Oryctolagus cuniculus: one gene and its partners. The protein of the gene in region 4 binds, or shares a complex with, the protein of the main gene of each other region. Links are inferred from orthologs where the notes say so. Each region holds a gene or a part of one and is shown on either strand. Other genes may lie near its edges.

Region 1 (5,783 bases), on a different chromosome or scaffold from region 4:
ACAAAGTATCAGCATTGTGGTACCGTGGGCCAGGCTGCCATTTGCAATGCCAGCATCTCATGGGAGTGCAGGTTCCAGTCCTGGCCCCAAGGTGGCGCACATGGATGGAGCTCCATACTCAGGATCCCTGGTCATCTAGGGAGCGGGTCGTTAGGTGGAAGATCTGTCTCTTCCTCCCTCTGTCACTCTTTCTTTCCTTCTTCCTTCCTTCTTCATTTTCAAATATTTATTTATTTATTTGAAAGGCAGAGTGGGGGGGGGAGGATTCCATTTGCTGCTTCACTCCCCACTTGGCGGCAACAGCCAGAGCTGCGCCGATCCAAAGCCAGGAGCCAGGCGCTTCCTCCGGGTCTCCACGCGGGTGCAGGGGCCCGAGGACCTGGGCATCTTCCTGCTTTCCCAGGCCACAGCAGAGAGCTGGATCGGAAGTGGAGCAGCTGGGACTTGAACCGACACCCGTATGGGATGCCGGCACTGCAGGTGGCAGCTTTGCCAGCTACACCACAGGCCGGCCCCAGTTCTGCCTTTCAAATAAACAAACAAATCTTACAAAGGAAAATCTAAAAGTGGACATGCAATTGGCGCAGCGATGAAGCCATTGCCTGGACGCCTCCCGCCTGCACTTCCAATCCATCTTCCTTCCAATGCAGCCAGGAGCAGCAGATGGCGGATCGAGTACTTGCGTTCCTGCCACCCATGTGGGAGACCCCAGTGAAGCTCCTGGCTCCTGCCTTCAGCCTGGCCCAGCTCTGGCTGTTGCTGCCATTTGAGAAGTGAACCAGCGGATGGAAGACCTCTCTCTGTCTCTCCTTCTCCCTCTGCCTTGCAAATAAATATTAGAACAAAACACACCAGGGGTAGGCATTTGTCCTAGTGGTGCAGACAACCACATCCTCTGTCCAGTGCTTGGATTCAATTCCCGACTGCTTCCCACTCTAGCTTCTTGCAAATGGAGGCCTTGGAAGGTAGCAGGTGATGGCCATGTAGTTGGGCCCTGACACCCACATGGGCAGCCCAGAGTTCTCGGCTTCCAGCCACCTTGAGCCTGGCCCAGTCCTGGCGGTTGCGGGTATCTGGGCAATGAACTAGTGGATGGGAGCTTTCTGTCCCTTAAATAAATAAAGTCTAGTGGCCAGTGCTGTGGCATAGTGGGTAGAGCTGCCGCTTGCAGTACCAGCATCCCATGTGGGCGCCGGCTCAAGTCCCGGCTGCTCCTCTTCCAATCCAGCTCTCTGCTGTGGCCTGGGAAGGCAGTGGAAGATGGCCCAAGTCCTGGGAGGCCTGGAGAAAGCTCCTGGCTCCGGATCAGCGCAGCTCCGGCCGTTGTAGCCAACTGGGGAGTGAACCAGCAGAAGGAAGACCTCTCTCTCTCTCTCTCTCTCTCTCTCTCTCTCTCTCACCCTGATGGGTGCTCCTGGCTGTTGGGCTTTTCCCGCGTTCCGGCCCTGCTCCGCGGTGAGAAGCGCTGACTGTGACCGCATCTCGGACGGTCTGCCTCGCCCACCGTTCCTTGCGGTCCCCTTACGAAGAGCTCAGAGCTGCAATCTTTCAACTCTGGGATCCGCTCCGTTAAGATTTCTTTGGCTTGGACCTGAGACCCTGACCCAAACCGGGCGGAGACGTCCCTGGCAGAGCACTCTCAGCCGCTTCACGTCCTCGCCGGTCCAGTTTCTCACCAGACACGATGGAACATACCAGAAGCCGGCCGAGGCAGTGAGCTGAGAACAAGCACAGATGCGGCCAAGTTCAAGCCCACTGCGTGACCCCGCCGGACGGCGGCCGGGGCAGGACCCCGGCCCGCAAGGTCCCCCCAGGTGCTGCTAAACGAGCAGGGGTGACGACACAGGCCACACGGCCCCTCACGCCACCTCCCAGTGCCCGCCGCGGACCGCGTCAAGTCAGGACCCCGCGAAGGGCTGCGCAGAGGGCAGGGCCGGGCGCCCAGAGGGGCCGGCCGGGAGCGGAGGGCTCGCAGTGGGCTCCCTGCAGGGCCCTAGGGCCGGAACGGCCCGCTCACGAGCAGAGTGGCGGAACGCAGCGCCCAGCCTCCAGCGCCGCACGCTGACCGGGACCAGCAGAGTAGCGGCCTCACGGCGATCGCACGCGCGTCCGCCTGCCCGCCCTAGGCACGCCGTGCGGGGGCGCCTGGCCGGAGAAGCAGCCCGAGGCCCTCCGAGCGGGACTCGCAGTCCCGGCGGGCCCCGCGGCGCACCAGCGCCTCGACGCCGCTCGATGCAAGGCCTGCCGGGACTTGCAGTCCAGCGCCGGCGCCTCGATGCCGCCCGTCGCGCGGCCTGCCGGGACTTGTAGTCCGGCGCCCGCGGGTCCAGGGCGCGGGGTGGACAGCGGGACTCGGAGTCCCAGGGAGCCGCGCGCCGGCCACGACGACCTCGCCGCCCTCGTCGCCGCCGCCTCCGCTGCCCCTGGGGTTTCTCGGCTACCGCCGCCGCCGCCGCCGCTACGCGGGCCAGCCCGGGCGTTCCCGGGCGGACGGAGGCTGCGGGTGGGAGCCTTCGCGGGCGCTGCGGCGCGGGCCGGGGGAGGCCGGGATGGAGCCCCCCGGAGGTGGGCGCGCTGCCGGGCGGGGCCGCGCCCGGGCGGTTGGGGCCGGGCGGGGCGGGGGCCGGGGCCGGGGCCGGGGCCGGGCGGCGCTCCCGGGGCCCTGACTGCCGCCGTCCCCACAGGGGACTGACGCGAGCGCGCCGGGGTCGCCGACGGCCGGGCGGAGCGCGGCGCGGACCATGGCGCACCTGAGGGGATTTGCCAGCCAGGTGAGGAGGGGCGGCACGGCGGCGCGGTCGGGGGTCGTTCCGCCTCCCGGGTGTCCCCGCCGCGCTCCCCGCCCTCCGCTGTCGCGGCTGCGGAGGTGACCGTGCGGCCGCCCGTCGCGCCTGCTTCGCGCTTTCCCGCACCCGCAGGTGCCAACGCTTCGCCCAGGGCGCGGCGCGGGGCGAGCGCCGGCCGGACCGTGGCGAGGCGTGGACAGGAAGCGCGTCCGCCCGCGACGGGAGCCGGTCGGGGGAAGGCGGCGGCCGGGGTCCCTGCTTCGTCTTTGACGTTTGGGCCTGCAGGTTACGTGGCGAGGATGTCGAGAGAAAAACCTGCTCACCTGTTAGAAGCGCAGGAGCAGGGCTGGCGGGGGCGCGGAGAGGGGACCCCGAGGTGGGAGGCGTCGTTTGGCCTTTTCGGGGCCCCTTTGCCATCCCGCAGGGCTGACCAGGCTGGTGTGGCCCCCGGGCCCCGTGGGCAGGAACGGTGCGGAGGTGCGAGCTCAGGCCGCAGCTGGGGTGTCGGGGGGCTTCGGGCCTCTGTTGTGCGGCGTGAGCAGCAGACACGTTGGGGCAGAGGGCCCAGGCTGCGTGGCCTACCCCGCAGCCCCTCCCGAAGAGGACCCCTGTGTTCCTCTTCCCAGGGCGGTTGGGCGTGGGCTGTCCCTGGGCTGCAGTGGCAGGTCCTTGTCACGCTCTTGCTGCTCAGGCTGGCTGCCGTGGCGGTGGGCACACCAGGAGGGGCCTGGGGGCAGGGACTTGCACCTTGCCTGCTCAGCCCTGGCTCAGGGGCTGTGTCGGGCGCTGCGTTGGCCAGGCTGTCAGCGGAGTGAGGTGGTACCCAGAGATGCTGCTGGGCCTCTAGGTCTGTCTCGGGCCAGCCTCGAAGGCGGTGGACTGTAGAGTGACAGGAGGACGCCAGCTCAGGGCCTGAGCCAGAGCCGCTGAGCCACCAGGATGGGGCTGTGCCAGGCAGCCTGGGGGAACGCGTCTCCCCAAAGCCCTGGAGGTAGGTGATGAGCTCTCTGCGACAGGAGAGTGGCCGCCTGCCCGTCAGTGGTCTGAGGGCTGCTGTGTCCAGGACTTGGGCACCTGCTCCGGCGGGCTGGGCTCTCGTGGGCTCTCGCCCGCAGCACCCTGAGGGCAGTGGAGCAGGTGTGACGTGTCACACACCGTGAGTTTCCTGGCTTCTGTTTCTAGAACCTGGTCAGCAGGAGAGGAGAGGCTGGGGTAAACGCAGCTCGCCTGGCCCGTGCAGCCTGGGCAGGACCGGACTTTGTCCTTGCTGATCCTCAGCCTTGGCTTTGGGGTCTCCTGGCAGCAGGCTGGCCCTGAGCATCCCCTGGGCTCATCCATGGCCACAGGCCTTGGGACCCGTCTGCCAGTTCTGGCCACTTTGCCTTATGTGTCCAAGCCGGTTAACTGGGTTAGGGTGTGTGTGGTCTGCAGCTGGCCTGCCTGGGGCAGCTGCTCTGGCTGTCACCCCAGGCCTGGTTCGGGTGGATTAAGTGGCCGGCGCTGCCCTGTCCTTGCAGCCCCGCTGCTGTGTCTGCGCCGCCCGGGGCTCAGCTCCGCTGTCCTCAAGTTCCTGTCTCCCCAGAGCCTGGCTCCCAGCCGGGGTCAGGGACACTGTGAGGCGGTCTCGTAGGCCTGGGCCTGGGTGATCGCCCCTCCTGCCCTGTGGTTACAAACCCTGGAGAGGGTGCTCAGGCTCAGCTGAAACGTGGCGTGAGCCTAGAGCAGCACCCTGCGGGCCCAGCACCCATGACTGGTGCTCTGCTCCGGGGAGGAGGCGCTGAGCCCGCCCAGCCCTGGCTGCCCTCACCTGGGAGCTGGCCATGTTTTCTGGACTTGGTGAGAAGTGGGCACTGAGACACTGTCATGGGGGTGGTGCCCCTCCTGGTGCGGAGACTCGGCTGGGCTTGCCTTGGGGCCGCCGCCCGCAGTGCTGGCATCCCACGTGGGTGCCAGTTGGAGTCCTGGCTGCTCCACTTCGTATCCAGCTCCCTGCTATGGCCTGGGAAAGCAGTGGAGGATGGCGCAAGGGCTTGGAGACCGGAAGATGCTCCTGGCTTCCGGGTTTGGCCTGGCCCAGCACTGGCCGTTGTGGGCATTTGGGGAGTGAAGCTGCAGATCTCTGTCTCTCTCTAACTCTGCCTTTCAAATAAATAAAAATAAATCTTAAAAAAAAAAAAGGAAAATTCTGTCTTGATGACACTCAGGGCCTTAACCCCACTCCCACCTCTACAGGTTCCCCTGTGGGGCAGCAAGCCACTAGGATCCTGGGGTATGGGGGCTGCCCTTCACCCTCGGCCGGCCGTGTTTCTGAGGTTGGTCAGCGCTTGGTGGCTGGAGCATGGTGTTCTCAGGAGCCCAGGGTCTCTGGGCAGTGGCTGGGGGACACCCAGAGTGACCCTGGCCGTGGGAGGTGCTGTGATGATGCTCCTGGGGTGGCCCAGGCTCAAACTTAAGAGGGTGGTTTATGCCGAGGACCCCTCTGCCAGCCTCTGCGACCTGGGCTGCAGACCTGGCGCCTCCCCCACCAGAGCCTGGTGACCCTGACGTCTTGCCTGCTTAAACCCGAGGACCATGTGGTCAGCGTCTGTGGAGTTGGAGTACCTGGACTCAGGCTTCTGAGAAAGGCCAGTGCTGGACTCTGCTGGTGTGACCCTGGTTCCGGGGTGGGGAAGTCCTCCAGGGGCTGTGGCTGTGATGTAGGGTCTCATCACCACAGGTTGGGTTCTGTTGTTCTTAATAGATTGTATGAATATGTTTTTAGATCTATGAGTTTATTTGAAAGGCAGGGTTACAGAGAGAGGGGGAGAAACGGGGGTCTTCCGTCCTCTGGTTCACTCCCCAGATGGCTGCCATGCCTGGGGCTGGGCTAGGCTGAAGCCAGGAGGTGGAGCTCCATCCAGATCTCTTTCGGGGTGGCAGAGGCCCAAGCACTTGGGTCATCTTCCGCTGCTTTTCCAGGCACGTTGGCAGGGAGCTAGATCGGAATTGGAGTAGTCA
Region 2 (5,316 bases), on a different chromosome or scaffold from region 4:
TACACAGGGGCAGTCCCCCACCCCCGTCCAACCCCTTACTGCCTGAGTTCCTTGCAACCAGGTGCTCACCAATACGGTCTTCCAGAGCAGCAAAAGAACTTTCTTCATCGGGAAATGAGGGGCGTGGCCACTGCAAAATTTGGTCACCATCCCAAACAGCATGATGGCAAATGGCTCATTGTTGTACAGTGGGGAGCCTAGGGGTGACAAAAAGGGATCAGGACGACCGCAGCAGCTCCAAACCTTCCCAAAGCTTCCCAGACTCAGCTCCAGACCGGGCCCGAAGGAGACCCCGAGGGTCCTACCCAGCTCGGCTCTGAAGGTCTGTCGCACGGCCCTCCACTCAGCCTTGTCGCCCTCGCACTCCTGGTGCACGGTCTCCACGATCAGGTACATGATGTTGAGCAGGACCCTGGGGACGAGAGCCAGTTCATAAAGGAGTAGGCTGGGGAATCTAGGGAGCAGCCCTGGCTTCCTTCATCCCAGCTCACGTGGGATAATACAGGGAACACCGAGAACAGAAAGGGGAGAGCTGAGAGGCCCCCGGAGCAAAGGCAGGCTTCACTCTCCCCTCCCGGTGTTTCCGTCACCGTTTCCCGCTGTGCTGGCTGGGGGACCAGAGCTTACTCTGTTTTCTCTCTCCAGCGCCTAACAATGTGCTCACTCAAAGCAGGTGCCTATTCAAAGGCTGCTCAACGAGTGACTTTGAACAAGAATGGCCAAAAGCACTGACTGCCACAGGCTTCCCGGCAAGAGAAAACAAACCCAGAAACGGGAGTGAGCTCTGAGGGTCAACACAGGACAGTCCCGGGGAGAGCAAGGACAGCGTTTACCGTGACAGGGCGGGAAGCGCGAAGAGAACTCTAACTACATCAGGGACACCACAAGCGCCCCGCCCGGACAACCTCCACATTCACAGAGCCAGGCTCCAACCCTCAAGGACGGCAACGCGATCTGCTGTCCGGCAGCCGCTACCAGTCCCTTGCATCCATGACCCATTACGAAGCTGGCAGGCTCAGTCAGGTAGATGGGGCTCCAGCTGGGCCGGCCGCAAAGTGGGGGGCCAAGGCGCAACATGCAACACGCAAATACAAAACACCCACCAGCAAGTCCTCCGCAGCAGGCCCACACTTCTCTGAGGCTCCAAGAAGCGCCTCGACCCTGGCTTTCCTTTGGGAGTCTCAACCCAGAGCCCCACCGAGGTAGGGTCCTCAGCAAGGCCCACTCATCAATCACACTGAGCCCATCCGACCTGAGACACCTGCAGGTCTGCATGTGCAGAAGGGACGCATACTCAACGAGGAAACCAAAGGCACCGCCCAGAGCCGGCCCTGCCAGGAGAGCCCAGGCCCGCCCTTGCTCACCTCAGGTCTGTGCTGTCCGCCAGGGAGATGGCGGGCTTCCTCACGGCACTGCTGCACGCGGCGCTGTTGCTGCAAAGGAGACTCGAGAGTCAGCACTTGGCCCAGCCAGGCGGAGTGATGCCCTCAACAAGTCCCACCCAGTGGGGGACCACAGGGCTGTGACATGTGCTAAGGCGGCACAAGAGGCCACGCGGCACAGTGGGGCCGGTGCTGTGGCATAGCAGGTTAAGCCACCGCCTTCACTGCCGGTATCCCACATGGGCGCCGGTTCATGTCCGGGCTGCTTTGGTTCTGATCCAGCCCCCTGATAATGCGCCTGGGAAAGCAGTGGAAAATGGCCCAGGTGTTCAGGCCCCTCCCCCCATGTGGGACACCTGAGGAAGTTTCTGGCTCCTGGCTTTGGCCTGGCCCAGCCCTGGCCATTGCAGCCATCTGGGGTGTGACCTAGTGGATAGATCTTTGTCTCTCCCTCTCTTTCTCTGTAACTTTGCCTTTCAAATAAATAAATACATCTTAAAACAAACAAACAAACAAAAAGCCCACCAGCTCAGGCCTGGACCAGACTGCAAGGTTTGAATCCTGGCTCCAGCACTTACGAGCTATGCAACCTTGGGCAAGGTACTGAACTGCCCTGTGCCTCAGTTTCCTCTAAATTGGGAGTGACACAGGACCCAGGACCCATGTCATTAGCATGAATTAGATCTACAGTCTCCTTCAAACAATGCCTGGGACACAGAGGCACTCGGCGAGTGTGCTTAGCGCTTATCCCTGATGACGCTATCCTCACACGAGCACAGCCAACCTGTCTATCAAACAAGGCGCCGGCGGTGACACCTGCCAGACAAGGCTGAGGTTGAGCCCACCACATGTCACACTGGGTTCTGGCCTCCTGCTGAGGGCAAAACTGCAGAGCAAACAAAATGGAGTCAGCAGGAGCAAAAGAGGGCTCAAATGCAGAGCTTCTTTTGAGGGGCACCAGAGGCCTGGCACGGGCACTGCCTGACTTGAAGGCGCTGCTGGCTTTAGGGAGCTGCAGGCATTAGGGTTGGTCCCTAATGGTGGCAGCTTCCAATTATGAAACCCCAGAGGTGAGAACAGAGCCTGGGGGGAAACCCTCAGCCCAAGTGGCCCGTTTAACCCCTTCAAAGCCAGTGTGTTCTACAGACGGTCCTCCGTCCAGCCCTGCCCTCGCCTCCCTACTCAAGCCCCGCAGAAGTGCTCACTCTATTTCCATGTTCAGAAGCTCCACCAAGGCGTTGAACGTGCCCACCTCCAGCAGCAGAAAGATGTTGTAGCGCATCCAGAACTGCACCTCTGCCTCCGAGCTGCACTCGCCAAAGGTGCCTGCCAACACACGGCAATGCTCGCCAAGCCCACCCCCACGTCTGACTGGGCGACGTCACTGGCAGAGGCGCCAGGGGACCCAGGCGAGGCCCACCCAGTACCTTGGGCAACGTAGAGAATTGCTCGAGCCACCTTGAGTCTCTTCTCCCTGGCAGTGACTTCCAAGCCATCCAAGAGCCTCATGGCATGGGTTCGGTGCTGGTTGGTGTCCAGCTCGGTCCACTTTTTGTCTGTCACTGCAGGGCAAGACACCAGTGATACCTGAGCCTAGAAAAATGCTCACAATGGAAGAGACCCGCTGTTGATCCACCAAATTCAGGATTGCCATAGGGGTGGAAAGACCGGTGACTCTGTGGAAGGGGCAAGGTCCGACTGCTGCTCTATGAATCGGAACTTCCTGACCCAAACACTACAGTCACACAGATTCTTCCCCAGTGCTCACATTCTGAAAAGCCGCCAGCAAAGGCCCACAAGGCGACTCTACGTGCTGCACCCGGCCTGGAACAAGTCGGTCCAACAGGTTTCTCGGGCCATTCCAGGATGACTTAGGTCATCCAGATGACTAAGAGAAACTGGAGCTCTTGCAACGCCGGTGATGAGCCAAGAAATCAGGAAACCACCTCACCATGAGTCCTGAAGTCTTCCTCGAAGCATTTTCTGTTCATCAGGAATTCCGGTCCTTCCGTGTAGCTGTAAAGCTCTGTCAAGAACAGAGTCTCGTCACAGCAGCTCCACACCTGCTTCCCCAGGGGACTCCCAAGTAGCCAGCAAGGTCAGGTGTGTGCTTCCGGGACCAACTCTGCCCCTGCACCCGTCGACTCCTGGCCTATGCTAATCACTCGGGGTGGGGGTGTCTTAGGGCGCTCGGGTATGTAATGCAGAGAATGCTGACTCCCCCTGCAGCTGAAATCCAGGACACCGGAGAAGCATAAATACAGGCACTTCCATCTGATACGCACCGATCCACCATGCCACGCCACGCCACGCCATGCCATGCCAGAGGTGAGCGCCACCTTGAAACTGTCTCCCCAGTGCTACCTGCCAACTGACCCGGGAGTATGGAGGCTGGAGAAGCAGCTCACATTGGACTTAGGTCACACAGGAGTGGCTGTGGCAATGGCAGATCTGCACACATGCAGGCGTGTTTGCTGGTATCTCCCATGACACACTACTGTATGGGAGGCGACTGCTGGGGGACAGTGTATGGCCAAGGAACATTACCATGTCACCCTGGGACTAGGCCCTAGCCAACTGAGCTGAATACAGAGATGTTTCAGAAAAGTAAAGAACAGGGCTGGCGTTGAGGCCTAGCAGGTTAAGCCATTGCCTACAACGCTGGCATCCCATACGAGTGACAGTTTGTGTCTCAGCTGCTCCATTTCTGATCCAGCTCCCTGCTAATGTGCCTGGGAGAGCAGCAGAGGATGGCCCAAGTGCTTGGGCCCCGGCACTCACGTGGGAGACCTGGATGAAGTTCCAGGCTCTTGGCTTTGGCCTGGCCTAGCCCTTGCCATTGTGGCCATTTGGGGAGTGAACCAGCAGATCAAAGACCTCTCTTTTTCTGTCTTTCCCTCTCTCTCTGTAATTTTGCCTTTCAAATAAATTAATACATCTAAAAAAAGGAAGGAAGAGAGAAAAAACAAATGAAAGAGAGAAAGAGAACAAACAAAAGAACGATCGAACCCAGTTTCAAGGTACACAAAACTTAAACAAAATAACATACTATTCACATATATGTATGCATACATATGTGTGTGTGTGTATCACTGATACAACTAAGGAAAAAATGATTCCAAAATGATACACATTGTAAATCTCCGTAAAGACCAATATGGAGAAAACTGCCCCCAGATGACAAAAGGACTGTGCTTTACCCGACAGCTCTGCGGCCCACTTGTCTGTGTCAGCATATTCAAACTCAAGGTCTGGTGACTCGGAGTAGCCCTGTTGACAAAAGGAGACAGCGTTACGCGTACTTTACAAAGCAGGAAACAGAAATGCACCCAGAGCCACCACTGTTCCCAGGAAACCACTGCCTCCCCTTTGCTTGCTGTTCGATCACCATATTTCGTCTCCTGGGCTAGCCCCGCGCTCCTCCCCACCAAGCCGTCTCAGAGCACCTTATCCTGTCCCTCCAGAGCGCCTGTAACTACTGCATGTGGGGTCCAGTTTCCACCTCGCCACGAGACTGCAAGGCCCTTGAAAGCAGGAAGTCAGTCCACGTTGATCAGCAGCGATTTCACAATGCCCAGCACAGTCCTCCACTGCTTTATATTCAAATCCCTCTCAAATGAACGAACACAAAGCTTCCAAGTACGTTGTGCCCTGAAGCCACTATTCCACAAAGTGCTAGGATTCCAGAATCTAGGCAGCTAGTGGGCTATCAACCCAGCATTCAAACTCTTAGTCTCTCGCCCTTGTCTCAAACTGCAGTGAGAACTGACAGAGAAGGCAGCAAACAGATGGGCCCGCCTCCCACACACAGGAGAATGCGACAGACCCTTTTCACTGCTGGGCACAGGTGATTACCCAGAACACACCGTCCTGTAGGCCTCGCGATAGCAGAGTGGTGAAGAGAGCGGTTCCCACCCTCAGTCTTAGGTAACAT
Region 3 (5,316 bases), on a different chromosome or scaffold from region 4:
TGAAAGCCCCCTCGCGCCTTTACCATGTGGGATGCAAAACAGATGCTAAGTAGCATCTAACAATAAGCAGATCTCAGCACATCTAAACATTGTGTGAGAGGCATGAGACAAAATGAGGGGGCACTGCAGTGGCAGCGACAGATAAGGCTAACTCTAGGGCCATATATATATATATATATATATATATATATATATATATATATAAAGCCAATGAGGGACAGAATTGAGCACAATGGCAAAAATTGGTCCTGTCCCTTTTGGGTCATGCTGACAGGCAGAAGTGTTTTTTTCATGGATTGCAGAGTGAGGCTGAGCTGAGAAGGTGTGTGGATGAAAAAGAACCACCCAGGAGAGGGCCCTTGGAACCCGGGACTGAAGCTACAAGTGGGTTAGACTGGGAGGAGCCCAACCTCAGGCAGGCAGGGCAGAGTATCAGGGCACATGGGCTGCTGCATGGAGGAGGAGCTGGCAATGAGCTTCGGGCTGAGATATGAGTAGATCCAGCTCTCCCAGGGCTTCTTTACAGTGAGGGAACCCGTGCAGGACATGAGGTCCCTGCGAGGAAGGGTACGGTCTAGGCCAGCCCTCCCCATATGCTTCTCACTCGATTTCCACGTGCAGTAGCTCCAGGAAGGCCGAGAAGGTCCCCATCTGGTAGAGCAGGAAGCAGTTGTACCTGGACCAGTGTAGCACATCCACCTCTGAATCACATTCCCCAAAAGAGCCTAAAGGACCAGACAGTTGCCACAGGGGTTGGGGGAAGGCAGGTACCCCAAGTACCCCAGTTCTTTCTACCCATACTTTTGTCTAATGCCCAGATCAATAATTAAGCTGACAGAGAAGGGCCGGGCCCTTGAGAAATTCCTGGAAGGAGTCAGGGAGAGGAGAGGCAATCGCCAGGGTTAGGTCCAAGGTGCTCATCAATGAGCCTTAAATCTGGGTTCCTCCAGAATCGAATCCTGGGGTAAAGATTCAAGTGCAAGTAGTTCATTTGGGAATTGAACCCAGGAATCATCAATAGAGAAGTAGGGAAGTGAGGCAAGGGGAAGAAGGCAGTCAGTGGAGTTCATCCTAGGGAAAACTGGAAACAGTATAAAGCACACGACTCGGGTCATCCCATCCGAGAGGACTGAGGTCGTCGCACTATTCGTCCAGTAACTCCTGTCAGTTATTGGATGAGGGCTGCTTAACTAGCTTCCTGTACTTCCGGTTGCTCGCTGTGGGCTGGGCACTGGCAGTTGGAAGCTGGCCAGAGCACCAGATCTAAGAGACACGGGTGAGCAAAGCCAGTGTCCACCTTCTTTCCTTTCCACCTGTTTTCTTCTTTTACAAAATTTTAAGCTCCCAGCTGGCAGACTGTGCCGGCAATCCTCACATTTATGATCTCAGGCCTTATTCACTATCCCAGCGAGGCTATCTCATTTCCCTTTCTTACGCCTGGCTAGCAGCTCTCTGCTGGCAGCTTTCTCCAATTAGCCTCATTTAATTCTGATCATCTTCACACTGCTCACCGCATCTACTCCTGCTGCCATGTTGGCTTGAACCTTCACAGTGCCAATGAGAAACACCGCAGCGGGTCCATGTGCGAGGAGAGGCGGTGACACTCCCCTGCCTGCCCTCAGTGTAGAGGCCAGGCCACAGCTGATGAAAGACGTCTCTACGCTCAGCTGATGGTACTCGGGCAGCTTTAGCCGCAGTGACCCTCTTGCTGCTCCTCACATAGGATTATGGCCCCTAAGAGAAATCCTGACCCTCTTGGTAAGATAAAGGCAGATCCCAAGGGATCCAGGACAGCATCCAACACCATCTCCTCATCTTCTCGTCAGCACAGGTGAATCCTAGTGCACGGTGAGAGCAGTCCTTCAGAGGCAGGGGGTTGGCTTTCACAGCATTAGCTGCCTCATCCCAGCCCTGACAATGCCACTTCCCTCCCCGGCTTCCACCCTCTCAAGCTAGCAAGGTGGTTCACTCACCCTGAGCCAGGTAGAGGACAGCTCGGGCCACCTTCAGTCGCCGCTCCCTACTGACCACCTCCAGCCGGTCCAGAAGTCCCATCACATAAGCCTTTTGGGCATCTTCTTCCAACTCCAGCCATTCCTTGTTTTGCACTGGGGACAGAACACAACACACATCCAGTGCCGGCTCCTGCCACCCTTTCCTGGAAAGGCTCCTGATAGCACACCCGCCTCTGCTCTCAGGCCCCAACAAATTCTTCTTTCTAAAAGCTGTTCTTATGTAGCTGAGAAAGAATAGGGATGGGAAAAGGGTCCAAAATACTGCAGCCTGAATCCATTGTGTAGCTTCCTCTTCTTCAACAGTCCCTCCGTGCCCCACACACAGCTTATACTGCTTTGTCTCTGCCTCTCCTCAAGGAGTTCCCTCTGTCCCCTGACATGTCCAGTGCCCAGTCAGCCTTGCAGGCCTGATACAAATGACCTCTTTCTTATTCTCACAGGCCTAATGCAAAGTTGCCTCTTTCCTACTCAGGTCCCTGGCAAAATCTCTGCTCCCGAGACACCTTCTCCACTTTTCTAGGATGCTTACCACTTTCCTCTGGGCCTCGGCTAGCATTGTGATGGGCACAACTCCTTTCTGCTGTCAGGCTACCAATCCTGTGTACAAGCTGCACTCTGCATTCTCTGATACAGAGCAGATACCAACCACACATTTGCTGAATTAAAAACTGAATTGCCACTGCCCAGCTAGGGCAACAGGGCATGGGCATGTGAAATTGCGACTGAGTGTGGGGCAGAGTTGGAGGCAGAGGTTGAGCCTTCAAGTCAAGAACTAGGCTTGGCACCAGGACCTGTCAGGCAGCAGGGGAATGGCCCAGCTCTGTCCCAATAGCCCTCTGCTCTCCTGGTAAACGGGGCTCAGATCAGGCTTCTTTTGCTTCTACCCTTGGTCTCTACACTTGAGATGCAATGACTCCTGTGTCCTGTGTGCAAGAAGGGAAGGGTGAACGGTTTAAGTGGCTGAAGGATCCTACTTTGTCTTAGCGTTTTACTAGATCAGATTGGGACACTGTAGAGGCAAAAATCAAGCCCCTGTAAGTAAGGGTCTCGCATCACCTTGAGTCTTGAAATCTTCTTCAAAGCACCTCCTGTTCGTGGTGAATTCCAGGTTCTCGGTGTAGCTATACAATTCTGTGGCAAGAAAGACAGAACAGAGTCACGTTCAGGAGACCCCAAAAGGAAGGGCCTGGGGTGGAGAGGGCAGCATGAAAGAGTTGAAGCTTCTAATGCATTCCCGTGTCCAACTCAGCCAGCTTCCTCCCTTTTGGAACAGTTAAAAATAGCCACTTGTGTCCCTGGGTGATTAAACCATCAAACCTGTCCTCCTCCTGCCAGCTGGCTCTTGCAGTGGAGAAGGGAGGCTTCAGCATTCGGGGAGCGCCAGGAGGAGAGGTGGGGCACAGAGGGCTTAATGTCATCGCTCCTGTTTCTCAGGGCTGCGACCCCTTCTGCTTTGTTAAAGCAGACTGGGATTATCTTATCTCGAGGGAACGGGAGTGCAAAACAACCCCTGAAATTCAGTGGTAAGATCCTTGTGCTATTTAGTAAGTCAGGGTGAAGGCTAAAGAGTCCATTCTAGATACTCTTCAGGGTTGGAGTCAGTTCATTCTCTCCCTGCTGAATTTCCATGAAGGGCATAAAAGTTCAGGCTTGTGCCCACGGCTGCCCACTCAGAGAGCAGCTGTGGTTGCTATACGGCTGCTGTGCACCGGAAAGCCTAACTTGGCCGATAGCAGCCTCTCCACACAAAATGCAGAAAGCTGATAAGAAACAAACAAAAAATGCCCTTTCCTACACACACAGAGAGAAAGAGAGAGATCTCAGAGCATTATGTCTGTACCCTCATATTGCAGATTTTTTAAGAGTTGAAATCAATAATCCAGATCTTTATTCCCCCCGTGCCCTAAGACTTTTCCTATAAATGTAACCAGGTCACAGACAGATCCCAAAACAAGAAAAATTCACTTATGTTCCAGCCAGCTGTCTCATGGTGGAGAAACACCCTTTTCTGGAAGTCAGGGTTTTTGGGTTCTGAGTTCCAGAATCTTGGGAGTGATCAGAAACAAATAATTTCTCTGAACCTTAAATACTTCAGTCATAGTGGAGAATGTGAACATGTATGTTTTAAGAGAGAACACAGGGGCCGGTGCTGTGGCATAGCAGGTAAGGCCACCGCCTGTAGAGTCAGCATCCCACATGGGCACTGGTTCGATCCCAGCTGTTCCACTTCTGATCTAGCTTCCTTCTAATGCGCTTGGGAAAGAAGCAGAGATAGCCCGAGACCCAAAGGAGGCTCCTGGTTCCTGACTTACGATTGGCCCAGTTTCAACTGATGGAGCAGCCATTTGGGGAATGAACCAGTGGATGGAAGACCTCTGTCTCTCTCTGCTGCTGTCTCTCTGCAACTGTGCCTTTCAAATAAATAAATAAATCTCAAAAAAAAAAAAAAAAAAAAAAAAAGGTATAGCACAAACCCAGTCAGAAAAGTGAGCCAGGGCTCTTGGATACTGAACTTTGGTTTTGTTCTTTTTATTTGTCTTTTAAATTTTGGATTGTGAATTTTCAGATATGGGTAAGTACAGAATACATAAGACACCTGTGTATCTACCCAGACCGAACAATGTTTTTGTCATACTTGTTTGCTGGCCTATCTTCTTCCTTTCTCTAGAGGGAACCGCTCTAACGAGATCAGTGGGTATCCCTCATATGCCCATTTTTATATTTTTACTACATATGTTTATGCCTGTAAACAACACATGATGTTTTTCACTTTTTTTATTTAAAAAAAGATTTATGTATTTATTTACTTGAAAGGTAGAGTTACAGAGAGACAGAAACAGAGAGAAAGAGAGGTCTTCCATCTGCTGGTTCATTCCTCAAATGGCCGGAGCTGAGCCTATCTGAAGCCAGGAGCCAGGAGTTTCTTCTTCTAGGTCTCCCACACAGGTGCAGGGGCCCAAGGACTTGGGGCAACTTCCACTGCTGTTATCCACTTCTGAAAACTTTTATCCAGGACCAGCGCTGTAGCATAGTGGGTAAAGCTGCTGCCTGTAGTGCTAGCATCCCATAAGGGCATCAGTTTGAGTCCCGGCTGCTCCACTTCAGATCCAGCTCCTTGTGATGGCCTGGGAAAGCAGTAGAAGATGGTCCAAGTCCTTGGGCCTCTGTACCCACGTGGGAGACCTAGAAGAAGCTCCTGGCTCCTGACTTCGGATGGGCCCAGATACAGCCATTGTGGCCATCTGGGGAGTGAACCAGTGGAGGGAAGACCTCTCTCTCTCTCTCTCTCTCTGCCTTTCTG
Region 4 (6,043 bases):
GCTCACTAGACTAATCCTCCGCCTTGCGGCGCCGGCACACCGGGTTCTAGTCCCGGTCGGGGCGCCGGATTCTGTCCCGGTTGCCCCTCTTCCAGGCCAGCTCTCTGCTATGGCCAGGGAGTGCAGTGGAGGATGGCCCAAGTGCTTGGGCCCTGCACCCCATGGGAGACCAGGAGAAGTACCTGGCTCCCAGCTTCGGATCAGCGCGGTGCGCCAGCCACAGCGCGCCCACTGTGGCAGCCATTGGAGGGTGAACCAACAGCAAAAAGAAGACCTTTCTCTCTGTCTCTCTCTCTCTTTCACTGTCCACTCTGCCTGTCCAAAAAAAAAAAAAAAAAAAAAGACCTATGAATTTAAGAGGTGCTTTTGTATATGTGTGATTGAGTTCATATTATCTATCAATTTGTTTTATAGTCTGCTAATGAATTAAAGGAATTGTCAGACAAGTGTTCTATCAGAAAAAAAACTGCTGTTAACATTCAGACTTCTAAGATTACATAAATCCCTCAGATGAAAAAAGATGTCATTGGGGCATTATTGTCTTGTTGGTACTCTGGTGGGTTTAGAACTAAGAAATCAACCTGCTCATGAAGATTTCACTGAACTAACTGCCAGGAAATCTGAGTGCCAGTTTTGGCTCTTCCTCTCACTCAAGGACTCATTGTGAAGTTTAAATTTCTTTGGACTTTAGTTTTTGAACCATAAATGAGATGATTGGACTATAATCTCAAAGGATACTTGCAGCCAAAATAATTTATGACAGGGAATTTAGCCATGTCTGCATCAACCTTTATGATAATAAAGAATGAATTCAGAGAGCGGAAACGTTCAGTAGCTAGAAGTGAGCTTGCCATCTTTATTTGCAACCAGAGCAGATACAATGTGTTTCCTGTCCTTTCTAGGAGTGGCCATGGAAGGGGGGAGGGGAGAGAGGACAAGGACAGGATGTCCTTCCCTAACATGTCACTCAGCAGTCTACATCTTTACATTTTTTTCACGGCCACGAGGCCTGATATAGCCTGTAAGTTTATTCCACACAACAGAAGGATTACAAATAACTTGTTCGGGTAACAATATTAAGTGTCTCGTTTCCTTTTCCCTTGTTATGGATTGTTTCCAAGCGCCTTCCTTTCTTCCATGTTATAATGTGAGTTTAAAGTGACATAAAATCAGGGACATCAGAGAAGGAAAACATTTACAGATGTCACTCCAAAGGGAAGGACATGGGTGTGCCTTTGGTAGGATGATCCTGTTGCCAGTTAGCAGGTGAAACGTAGTAAAAAAAAAAAAAAACAAAACCCACCCTGACAACCGGATAAGTGAACATGAAGAGGTGCGTGGGTAAGACAGCTCTGGAGAGAGGGAGGGAAAAAAACCAAAAAACTTGTTCTTTTAGGTAGTGTAGCTTTAAGGCTCGGTGAGACTTGATTAAATATATGCCAGTCTCCCTTAGATGACAGGAACTGTGTCATCTATCTTTATATCCCCAGTGCGGGAGAGAACCGACAATCGAAATCCCTCTTCCATCGAACTGAGTTAAAAACTTATCCTTACTGGGGATAAGATAGGAAGTCACTGGCAACAACTTTTTACAGGATTGACGGCGGCGGAGCAGCTTCTCAGAGGTGGAAAACGCAGCCGAGAGCTGCCGCGCGCAGAGCCCAGGGAGCGGGGAAGGGGATCAGAGCCCGTCACTTGGGAAAACTCAGGCAACAGGTCTGCAGCCCTCCAGTGAAAAAGCCAGGGGCGGCGGCGACGCGCACCCCCGCAGGTCTGGCGGGTCCGAAACCGCCAAGTCCGAGTCCAGGGCACCGGACCCGCGGCCGACCGGCTTCTTCAAAGACGGCCAGGAAGCCCTCAAGATGTACGGCCCGGGTCTGTCTCCTGGCGTGATAACAACTTCCGCGTGTGTGTGTGTGTGTGTGTGTGTGCGCGCGCGCGCGCGCGCCGCGGGGAGCGCCGCTCGAAGACGAGGACGACTTCCGCGTGCCAGCACGAACGGAGCGTCGCCGGCCCGCGCCAGGTCGCCAGCGCCAGAGGAAACCCGCGCTTCCGCGGGCCGGGGGCGGGGCCGCCGCCACGCCCGAGCCGAGGCGAAGCCCCACAGGCCGCCGGGACCGCGCGCGCGCCCGCGCCCCGCCCCGGGACTACATTTCCCAGCAAGCCCCGGGCCGCCCGCGCGCCGCAGTTGACCCATTTCCCGGCCCGTCACGGGCTCGGCCGGCCCCCGCGCCCAGGCGGCTGCTCCCTGCTGACTGGGGTGTGGGCGGGGAGCGGCGGAGGGAGGAGGAGGCACTGCTGGCCGCCACCGTTGCCTCCGCTGCTGGGCGCCTGGGCAGCTCCCCGGGTTTCTGCGGCCGCCATGGACGAGCAGGCGGGTCCCGGCGTCTTTTTCGGCAACAACCACCCGGGCGCCGGCGGTGCCAAGGGGCTCGGGCCTCTGGCAGAGGCTGCCGCGGCCGGCGACGGGGCGGCTGCGGCGGGGGCGGCTCGAGCCCAGTACAGCCTCCCGGGGATCCTGCACTTCCTGCAGCACGAGTGGGCCCGCTTCGAGGTGGAGAGAGCCCAGTGGGAGGTGGAGCGGGCGGAGCTGCAGGTAAAGACCCTCCCGGCCTGGCCCTCTTCATCCCGCCTCTTCGCTCCCTTCCGCCCCGCCCCGGACCGTCGCCCCCTCCCCCAGTCCTCTCCCGTCCCTTCCCCCTTTGCTCCCGCCCATCCCACCCGGAGCCTCGTCCCCTCGCTCCCTTCACCTTTGCCTGTCGCTGTCCCCACTTCTTTCCCCGCGGTTCTCCCGCTCCTGATGTGTTGTTTACCCTCCCCGCTCCTTCTCGTCGGCTGCTTCCCACTCTTAACTCCCAGTCTCGTTTCAACTCTCTTGCCGCCCCGCACCTGAGGGCTTCCCGTGCAGTGTCCTGAAGGAGCTGACAGTAGTTTTGGGAGACGCTGAGCAAGTCATCGTCTGGGCTAGTGTGTCCCATCCGAGGTCTCTGCAAAAGGGACTGGCCGTTGGCGCCTCTCTCTGCAAGGAAGGCGACAGAAGTTGTGTCAGTGAGGCCTTGACTTTGGGCTAGAAGCTGACTTTGGGCAAAAGTGTTGTTAGAAATATCAGCCGCCTTGTCTACACGTGTATGTTTCTTCTCCCCCTGCCCCCCGCCCCCCGGCCCCGTATTGCAGATTCCTGGATTTTGAATGAGGGACTGAGATGATCAGCGAGCTGATGGTCCAGAGATGGTTCTTGTTGGAAAGCTGCAACTTCTCGAGGGTTTATTTCATGTTTAGTATTTTGTGAGATTGGGTTGTAGTTTGGAAGGAACTGAAGGGGCTTCACTGATAGGAACATTGCCTTGCATAATCTGCGAGATAAAGTAGGAGTCTATCCAGGGAGGAGCTATTGTGGGCTCTCGGGAGAATGAAAGCGAGGCTGATACTTTACAGGGCATGCTGAGTTGTAAGTAGGTTTTCAGTGGCTGTTCTTAAAACTTGCAAGGCAGCCGCCAGTTTCAGGAGGAATTGGGAAGACCATGAGGGGTTGTGTCTGTCTCTTACAAGATGATCCTGTACCCTTAGGAGATTTGAGTATGGTCTTGGTTTTTGAAACACTTGAAGGTAGAATGCTGTCCATTGTGTCACTTTTTTTTTTTTTTTTTTGGTAACATGTATTTCTTTGGTCCTGAAAAAGAAAAAGGAGGGGAGAAATCTGTCCAACACCATCGTGTGCTGGGATAGGCTACTTCGCTGGAGTGGCACTGGCTGTGCAAAGAGCCAACAGGGTTCCATTGGGTTGGGTTCTAGTGAGGGCTGTGTTTGCTGCCAGTTCTGTGACCTTGGGGAAATCTTTTAACCTCTCTGGGCTTCAGTTTCACCCCTTGTTTATTCAACACGTGTTAATTGAGAACCAGCTATATGTCTGGAGGCTCTGAGATGAACGAAACTCAGGAAGCTTCTGCCCTCACGGAGTTTCTGTTTAGTTGGAAGGCAACTGATCAGCAAATGAAACCATATAATATAATGGCCTATTGTGGGAACTGCTGAGAGGAGAAATCCATCAGGGTACAAGAATAGAGTGGTGGAGAATGCTGCTTTAGGTCGGCGCTTTAGGTGAGGCCTCTGGGAGGTGAGAGATGAGTGGTTGAATGAAGTCAGGAATGACACATAGTTTCTGTAATTCCTTGTCAGTCTATATGTCTATGGTTATGTGTTTATATGTTTTGGCTGTGTTTTCATCCCTACTGGCATGTTGCTTTAAAAGCTGGTCTGTTGGTATTTGTAAGTTTTCTCATGGTTATGGCCATGTCTCTGTGGTACCCAACACATTCGAATGTTTATGCATTTACCTTTTTCGCTGTGTATTCTATAAATGAGCTTGTGGATTTCAGGCTTCAAAGAAGTATTAAAGACTAGGTGTGACTTTCTTTAAAACAAACATTTTTCATTTTTTTTTTTTGAGAGACACAGAGACAAATCTTCCATCTGCTGGTTCACTCTCCAAGTGCCTACAATAGCCAGGGCTGGACCAGACTGAAGCCAGTATCCCAGAACTCAATCCCAGTCTTCAGCATGAGTGGCAGGCACCCAAGTACTTGAGCCAAGTACTCACAAGGTGTGTATTAGCAGGAAGTTGAATTTGAAGCAGGGGAAATGGTGTCCCAAGTAGTGACTTAACTGCATTGTGCTGCACGCCCACCCCAAAGTTAAGATTTATCTATTTATTTGAAAGTCAGAGTTACAGAGAGAAGGGGAAAGACAGAAAAAGTGATCTTCCATCCGTTGGTTCACTCCTCAGATACCTGCTGCACCCAGGGCTGGGCCAGGCCAAAGCCAAGAGCTTCATCTGGGTCTCCCATGTGGGTGGCAGGGGCCCAAACATTTGGGCCATCTTTTGCTACTTCTCCCAGTCTATTTGCAAGGAGCTGGATTGGAAGTGGAGCAACCGGGACAAGAATCAGCGCCCATATGGGATGCTGATGTCATAGGTGGTGTCTTTACCTGTCACGCCATAAAGGTGACCCCTAAAGTTTGACTTTTAATGTTACCCAGTTGTAGGAAATTATTTTTGTATGTAGATCCTTAGATTTCAGTTCCTTTTCCAATGTAGGGAATGTAAGTTACACTAATTTGAACAAAAACAAAGGAGAGAACAATGCTAACCTTCCTCTCTGTAGAAGTTTGGGGTCTTCTAACCCACCTTGTCTTCTGCTCACTCACTCCATTCATATTTAAGCTTTTCACTTTATCTGTAACTGTAGTCAGTCTTCAGTTTTTTGCCCACACATGTTACATTTAATGTAAGTTTCTCATTGGTGCACTACTTTATTTGCTTATTTATTTGAGCTAGAGATTCCTCACCACCTGGCTCATTTCTCAGATGCCTGAGGGCTGGGTGAGGGCTGAAACCTGGAATCAGGAACTCCTGTGTGGGTGTTAGGAACCCAGTACTTGAGTCTTTACTATTGCCTTCTAGGGTCTGCATGAGCAGGAAGCTGAGACCAAGAGCTGGAGCCAGGAATTGAACCCAGGCCCTCTGATGTGAGACATGTTTATCTTAACTGGCATTTTAACTGCTAGGCTAAATGCCATCCCTTGAACACTACCTTTTTTTTTTTTTTTTTTTTTTTTTTTTTACAGGCAGAGTGGACAGTGAGAGAGAGACAGAGAGAAAGGTCTTCCTTTGCTGTTGGTTCACCCTCCAATGGCGCACCGCGCTGATCCGTAGCCAGGAGCCAGGTACTTCTCCTGGTCTCCCATGGGGTGCAGGGCCCAAGTACTTGGGCCATCCTCCACTGCACTCCCTGGCCACAGCAGAGAGCTGGCCTGGAAGAGGGGCAACCAGGACAGAATCCGGCGCCCCGACCGGGACTAGAACCTGGTGTGCCGGCGCCGCAAGGTGGAGGATTAGCCTATTGAGCCGCGGCGCCGGCCCCCTGAACACTACTTTTTTAAAATAGTATCTTTCGATTTGTTCTCAAATTAGGCTTACCCAGAGAAGTTTAAAAAATGAGTTGTATATTATCTGAATAGAGTAAGTGTTATGTATTTTGGGGAA
Region 5 (6,114 bases), on a different chromosome or scaffold from region 4:
AGGGCAGGGAGGGGGAAGGAACGTTCTCCCCCACCGGCACCCTGGAACTGGCTTCAGCCCGACGCACCAGCAGGCAGTACCGTCTGCAGCCACTCTCACACCTCTGCCGCTCAAACACAGGAAGATGCTCTTCTTCTCTACTGAGAACTTTTACTCATCTTTCATTCTGAGAAAGCAAAATAAAAAGTTCCCTAGTAACACCACCTGGCAAAGGCACCGTACTGGGGAGGCGGCAATGGTTTCAAAACAAAAATTTGCTTTTTTTCCCAAGATTTAAACATTTGGGCCCACTCTAAGGGTGGGGGGGGGGGGGAGTAAGAGACCAAGCAGTGACCAGACACTGAGTTCCCAGCACCAGCCGAGGGGCTTCAGGTACCTTTCCGGATGGCACTGAGACAATCTGTGGTTACAGCCCGTGTAACACAGGGCAACAATCTAAAGGTAAATCGCATTTTTTAACATTACAAGAGGTCTTCTTACTCTACTAGTCAGAAACTCTTTTTCACCCTGTTCACCCTGACCTTGATGCCTTGAACGTTCAAACCAAAGCAGGAGTGTTAGGAAACACCCCCCGCCCCATCAGATTTTTACCTAGTGGTCAGCAGAAACTCACATCGCACGTTAAAGAGCTCTCAATGAGATTCAAAAAACACACTCTGGCACCCGCCCATCCTAAGATAGTTTGTTACTCCTAAAAAAAAAAAATTGCCTGAAATTCTGGCTACCACTGAAGTGGTGACACTGAGCTCCTATTTTGCTAGATTTCAAACCTGAACAATGAAATCAGGCTTTCTTGCTATGGTTTTCGGGGGACAGGGGGATGGTTTCCAATGGAGGAGGAGCAGAGGTCCAGGGGCGATCCTCAGCCCTCCCCTCCATGTCTACAAAATAACAAAAAATCTTTTTTTTTTTTTTTTTTTTTGGCCGATCTCCGGAAGCTCGTGCGTTCTCCCGCCCGGCTGGGCTGTCCGGGAAAAAACAAAACTTCAGGGGCACACTGCACAGCAACGCGAGGCTGGAACCCGCATCGCGCCGCCACCCTTTACCGACGTGCTCACGGACATGACAAGTTGGCTCGCGATGGGGGTTTCACTTTTTTTTTTTCCAAGAGCTAGAAACATAGTCACCTACGGAGGAAAAACTTGGAAGGCGTTCGCGACCATCGAAAATCCAACGCCTCCCCCCACTTCACCCCCCAAAAAAGGGGACCGCTAGGCCAAGCAGCCACAAAGCACCAACAGCCAGGTCCACGGCGCGGAACTCCTCTAAATCCCACCAAGTCGCCAAGTGGAACTCCAGCGCCGGGCCAGGGGCCTGCGCCAGGCCGGGGGCCCGCACCTTCCCGCACCGCGCCCTGTCCGCGCGCCGGCGCCCCTCCCTCCGCCCGCCGCCCGAGGAGCCGAGCCCCGCGCGGGCCCGGGGGGCCTCCACCGCCCCCGCGCCGCCCGGGGCCTCCAAGGGCACGTCTTCCCCTCCCGTCTCCCCCGGCGCGGGGCCGCCGCAGGCCCTGCACTGCTCAGGACTTGGGGGCCAGGCGCCGGTGCCCCACATCCGCACCCAGGCCTCGGTGCACCCCCCACCCCGCGCGCCCCGCCACACATCCACACCCGGCCGCCGCGGCCCGCGAGCAGCCCCGGGAGTAGGGCCCGAACCCCGGCCGACGCGACCCCGGAAGGGAGAGCCTGGGGGGGGGGGGCCCTGTTTACACCGCCAAGTTGCCCGCTTCCGCCCCAGCCCCGCATCCCCAGTCCCTGAGGCCCGCGGCTGCCTACCTGCATGCCGGGCAGGCCCGACTGCACCGGGGAGTGAGCCATGGCGCGCAGGACGTCCACTTCCTGGGACGGGACGGCCGGGCCGCGGCGATCCGCGCGGGCGACCAGGCCCGCGGGCCGCGCCGGATCCCGAGGCCACCCCAGCCCCGGCGGGTCCCGGCAGCCGGCGGAGCTCAGCGACGGGCGCCGGGCCGCGTCTCCATGCACGGCGCCCACACGGGGCGCGGGGGGCCGAGCGCGAGCCGCCGCCGCTGCCGCCGCTGCTTCTCGGCGGGAGCCGGGCGGCCTGGGCCCGCACGTACTCGCCGCCTGGACCCGGAGTGGGCGCGCACCACCGGCGGAGCCCGCGAGCGCCGAGAGCGCCCCGCCCCGGCCCGGCCCCCGCGCCCGCCCCCGCGGCCCGGCCGGGGACCCCGCCCCGCGCTTCCGGGAGGCGGAGGAGGGGAGAGGGAGGAAGAGGAGGAGGCCCGGCGGCCGCCCGGGCGCCCTAGGCCGCAGGCGCCGCGCCGCCGCCTGCCGGCCGGGCCTGCATCCCAGCGGCTCCCGCGCGCGCTCCCACGCCCCCCGGGGGGCGGTGCCGCGCCGCGAGGGCGTCCGCCGGGGCGCGAGCGGGTCGGAGCCCCGCGAGCCGGCTCGGGCGCTGAGGCGATCCCGGGCCGCCCGGCCGCCGCTGCACTGTGCCCGCGCCCCGGGCGGCCTTCCTAGACGGGGGCTGGGCCCGGGGCTGCTCCCGCAGGCCGCGGCGGAGCTTCTGCGGCGTGTGAGGAAGTTTCCGACCGCCCGGAGGCCGGGGCGGCGACTGTATGCCGGGCGTTTGCTGACTGAACGCGGTGCCGGCAGCGCGGCTGCGAGGAGCGAGCGGGGAGGGCCTGCGGGCCGCCCGCCGAGCCGGAGGAAGCGGCGTGCGGACTTTGCCCCGCGCCTCTCCGGGCCGGGAGTGCCCGTTCTGCCCGCTGGCTGTGCGAGGTGAGGCGGCCACAGCGAGCCCCCAGAGGCCGCAGGACGCGGTAAGCAGAGTCCGAGGTGTCGCAGCACCGCACCCCTGCTTGTGCTGGGAGCCCCGGGAGACCTCAGGCCGCCTTCCTGGCTGTCACAGGGACACTGCTCACTTACAGAGAAGCCGGGGCGGTGACTCTGGGGAGGATGTGACAAATACAAGGCAGAAAAGCAGCCGCTTACGAGCTTACCTAAATTCTGTACCGCTAAGAAACGTACCTCGGGAGAAGAGCCAAACCAGAAGGAACGTGCACTCTTCGAGGGCCCGTCGTGTTCAGCCTGGGAATTCCACCCAAAGTGACACAGCCTGAGGAAATGACTAGAACGTATCGAAAGCTGCAGCGAAGTGGCATTTAGAATCCTGGGGAATCTACCGTGGAAAACCCTAACAGATGCAGTAAACAGTGTTTTCGTTACGTACTCACTGAAGAAAACGTAGGAACCAAAACAATGCACAGGCACTTCAGAAAGTTCATGAAAAATGGAATTAAGGGGTATTTGTATGTTGCATAAGGTTTTGAAATCCATGCTGGTTTTTCATAATACACATTGTAAACTTTTTAAAAGGCCCTTTGTGTAGTTTGATTTCAAGCTACTGCATATAAATTAATTTTAGAAACGTGTGTGTGTGTGTGTGTGTATTAGTAGAGAAAAACCTAGAAGTATATGCACCAAAATTTAGCTGTCTGGAATTAAAGATGATTTTTCTGGTCACTAATCAGAGCCAGAGGAGACCATCGTGCTGAGATACAAATGGACAGTAACATCAGAGCACTGATCTGAAGCAATACCATGGGAAATGCTCAGAAATTGTGAGGATGTGAAATGAGGGGTAGAAGACACTGGACCATAATATTCCAGATATAAAAAATAATCAGAATAATATTTGTATACCAGGGCTAGTGAGACTAGGAACATACGGGTTCCCAGTGGATGTGGCTTATCTGGACATGGTCTGAGACTTGCATCCTTTAGCTGATCTATCTCCTGTTCTCTGTTTATCTCAGTTTTTCTTCTTTGACCATTGAGTTCCATTCTCACTGAACAAGAAGAATGCTCATAGAAGTAACAAGTTCTTCTCAGTCCTATGCAGGCATCAACCAGTGTTTACAGAACTGTAGGTCTCTGGCTGCTTTGTCTTCCCAGAACACTGATGATTGACAAGGCCTGAGTCAGGAACAGTTCTGTGCGGTTTTGCATTCGATCATTACACTTTATTTTTTTTTCCAAAAGACACCCTTTATTCATTGAGTACACATTTTATAAGCACAACTTTAGGAATATACTGATTCTTCCCACCATCCCACCCTCCCCCCCCCCCCCGACTCCCATTACACTTTTTTGTGCACTTGTTGCATTCAGACATCAGTTCAGCATAGGGCATCTAAACAGGACTAGATCCCCAGGTGCTTGTGATCCCATCCTGGAAATCTAGTCTCACTATCCTAACTTTGGAAGTTTACAGTACCATAATTGATGGCACGTAGAGTGACAACAGGGTCACTTCCAGGGCCGGCGCTGTAGGAAGCAGTAAAGCTGGTTTGGGTCCCGGCTGCTCCACTTCCAATCTAGGTCTCTGCTATGCTATGGCCTGGGAAAGCAGTAGAGGATGGCCCAAGTCCTTGGGCCCCTGCACCCACGTGGGAGATCCAGAGGAAACTCCTGGCTTTGGATGGGCCCAGCTCCTGCCATTGCAGCCACTTAGGGAGTAAACCAGCAGATGGAAGTCTTCACTTGCTTGCCCTCTCTGCCTCTGCCTCTCTGTAACTCTGCCTTTCAAATAAATAAATAAATCTTTAAAAAAAAAAAATCACTTCTACCAAGGAAAGAAAAGGACCATCCTCTCACACTTTTCCTCTCATCACTCTCCCTCCACCCCTAATAAATAATTACAACAGATCATTTACTACTGTAATTCCAAAAAGAATTTGAGGGTCTCCATAGAGATTATATGTTCTCTTGTCTCCATGGAGATACTAACCTATTGTTTTCATCCCCTGGCCCTCTTTGTCTTTTGTGTTCACTTACAGGACATGAGTTGGGTAAAGAGTTGTGCTCTGACATGTATTCTGGACCACAAAAGACATTTCCATGTCCCTACATGGAGCCCCTCCAACCAGAGAGCCCCTGTGGATTGACTTCCCCTAAGCCAGTTGCTAGTCTCAGCTGAGCTCAAAGCTTGCAGCAGAAAACAAGACTTCAACAATCAATCCCTTCACTTCTCTGGCTCTGAGTTGAAAAGATAAACACCCCCAAATGCCACTTGATAAAGAACAGCTAGACAAGTAGCACATTTGCAATTTAAATTTGCAGATTAAAGAAAGGGACTTGCATGGTGAACTTTAAAAGGAGAAATATGAGTAGCTCAGATAAGTAACAGAAGGCTTGAAGAATTTCTACACATGTTCAATAGGTGAAGACAAATTATTAACATCAGCATAAAGAAGTACATCAAGAATCATCGGATGACATGACAGCAAGAAAATACAGTTTAAAGGCCTAGGGGGATTTCCCAGCACATTGAGAAATGGTGACAACAGGGTTTTGTTCTGTGAGTGCAGAGCTCAGAGGACAGGCTCTCTTGGAGACCTCACTCTCAGTCAGCCTTTGGTTGTACCTTGCTTGCTAGGGCAGCTGTAACAAAGACCCACCAACTGGGTGTCTTACACCACAAATGTGTACCTCCTCACATTGGCAGAGGCTGGAAGTCAGGTCACAGTGTCAGCAAGGGCTGATTTCTTCTGAGGCCTCCCTCCTTGCAAGTGGCTGCTGCTCATCTGGTCTGTCTGTGGTTATCTGTGCCCTAAACCCCTCTGCATACAAGGAGACCAATAATAATGGGTTGGGGCCTACTCTGGTTGTTCTTCCTGAACTTGACTGCTTTGGAGTCATGTGTAGTCACATTTGGAGGCACTGGGGTTTAGGACTTCCTCATGAATTTGAGAGAGGGACACAGGTTAGCTCTTTTTTCTTTTTTTTCTTTTCTTTTTTTTTTTTTTTTTTTTTTTGACAGGCAGAGTGGACAGTGAGAGAGAGAGACAGAGAGAAAGGTCTTCTTTTTGCCGTTGGTTCACCCTCCAATGGCCACCACGGCCGGCACACTGCAGGACTAGAACCTGATGTGCCGGCGCCGCAAGACGGAGGATTAGCCTAGTGAGCCGCGGTGCCGGCTGCAGGTTAGCTCTTCACTATATATGAGTTTGGTCACCCGCATCACTGGTTCCTACAGGCTCAGCTCCAGGACTGCTTTCTCCTCTCACAAGGCCCTTGGGCCTGCTGCACACTTCACATTTTTGCACAAGAGACATTTCTTCATATTTCCTTGGGCGTAGTCCCTAAACTTTAT

Evidence for each region.
Region 1: STRN (region 4) and STK25 share a complex: the UniProt entries of both Homo sapiens proteins name them as parts of the core of STRIPAK complex. The link is inferred for Oryctolagus cuniculus from reciprocal best matches to the Homo sapiens genes STRN and STK25.
Region 2: STRN (region 4) and STRIP1 share a complex: the UniProt entries of both Homo sapiens proteins name them as parts of the core of STRIPAK complex. The link is inferred for Oryctolagus cuniculus from reciprocal best matches to the Homo sapiens genes STRN and STRIP1.
Region 3: STRN (region 4) and STRIP2 share a complex: the UniProt entries of both Homo sapiens proteins name them as parts of the core of STRIPAK complex. The link is inferred for Oryctolagus cuniculus from reciprocal best matches to the Homo sapiens genes STRN and STRIP2.
Region 5: STRN (region 4) and STK24 share a complex: the UniProt entries of both Homo sapiens proteins name them as parts of the core of STRIPAK complex. The link is inferred for Oryctolagus cuniculus from reciprocal best matches to the Homo sapiens genes STRN and STK24.

The regions. Positions count from the first base shown.
Region 1 is NC_091434.1:278,039-283,821, forward strand, and holds the start of STK25 (serine/threonine-protein kinase 25), read left to right. Parts: upstream 1-2,344; 5' UTR 2,345-2,503; exon of another isoform or gene 2,504-2,565; intron 2,566-2,684; 5' UTR 2,685-2,741; coding exon 2,742-2,771; intron 2,772-5,783. UniProt on the Homo sapiens protein: Oxidant stress-activated serine/threonine kinase that may play a role in the response to environmental stress.
Region 2 is NC_091438.1:60,285,163-60,290,478, forward strand, and holds part of STRIP1 (striatin-interacting protein 1), read right to left. Parts: intron 4,653-5,316; coding exon 4,583-4,652; intron 3,409-4,582; coding exon 3,334-3,408; intron 2,945-3,333; coding exon 2,810-2,944; intron 2,709-2,809; coding exon 2,588-2,708; intron 1,434-2,587; coding exon 1,365-1,433; intron 413-1,364; coding exon 306-412; intron 198-305; coding exon 70-197; intron 1-69. UniProt on the Homo sapiens protein: Plays a role in the regulation of cell morphology and cytoskeletal organization. Required in the cortical actin filament dynamics and cell shape. Part of the striatin-interacting phosphatase and kinase (STRIPAK) complexes.
Region 3 is NC_091434.1:165,646,893-165,652,208, reverse strand, and holds part of STRIP2 (striatin-interacting protein 2), read right to left. Parts: intron 3,147-5,316; coding exon 3,072-3,146; intron 2,109-3,071; coding exon 1,974-2,108; intron 726-1,973; coding exon 605-725; intron 1-604. UniProt on the Homo sapiens protein: Plays a role in the regulation of cell morphology and cytoskeletal organization. Required in the control of cell shape. Calmodulin-binding scaffolding protein which is the center of the striatin-interacting phosphatase and kinase (STRIPAK) complexes.
Region 4 is NC_091433.1:165,857,685-165,863,727, forward strand, and holds the start of STRN (striatin), read left to right. Parts: upstream 1-2,362; coding exon 2,363-2,596; intron 2,597-6,043. UniProt on the Homo sapiens protein: Calmodulin-binding scaffolding protein which is the center of the striatin-interacting phosphatase and kinase (STRIPAK) complexes.
Region 5 is NC_091440.1:13,995,223-14,001,336, reverse strand, and holds the start of STK24 (serine/threonine-protein kinase 24), read right to left. Parts: upstream 3,387-6,114; 5' UTR 3,297-3,386; coding exon 2,988-3,296; intron 2,327-2,987; exon of another isoform or gene 1,815-2,326; coding exon of another isoform or gene 1,773-1,814; intron 1-1,772. UniProt on the Homo sapiens protein: Serine/threonine-protein kinase that acts on both serine and threonine residues and promotes apoptosis in response to stress stimuli and caspase activation.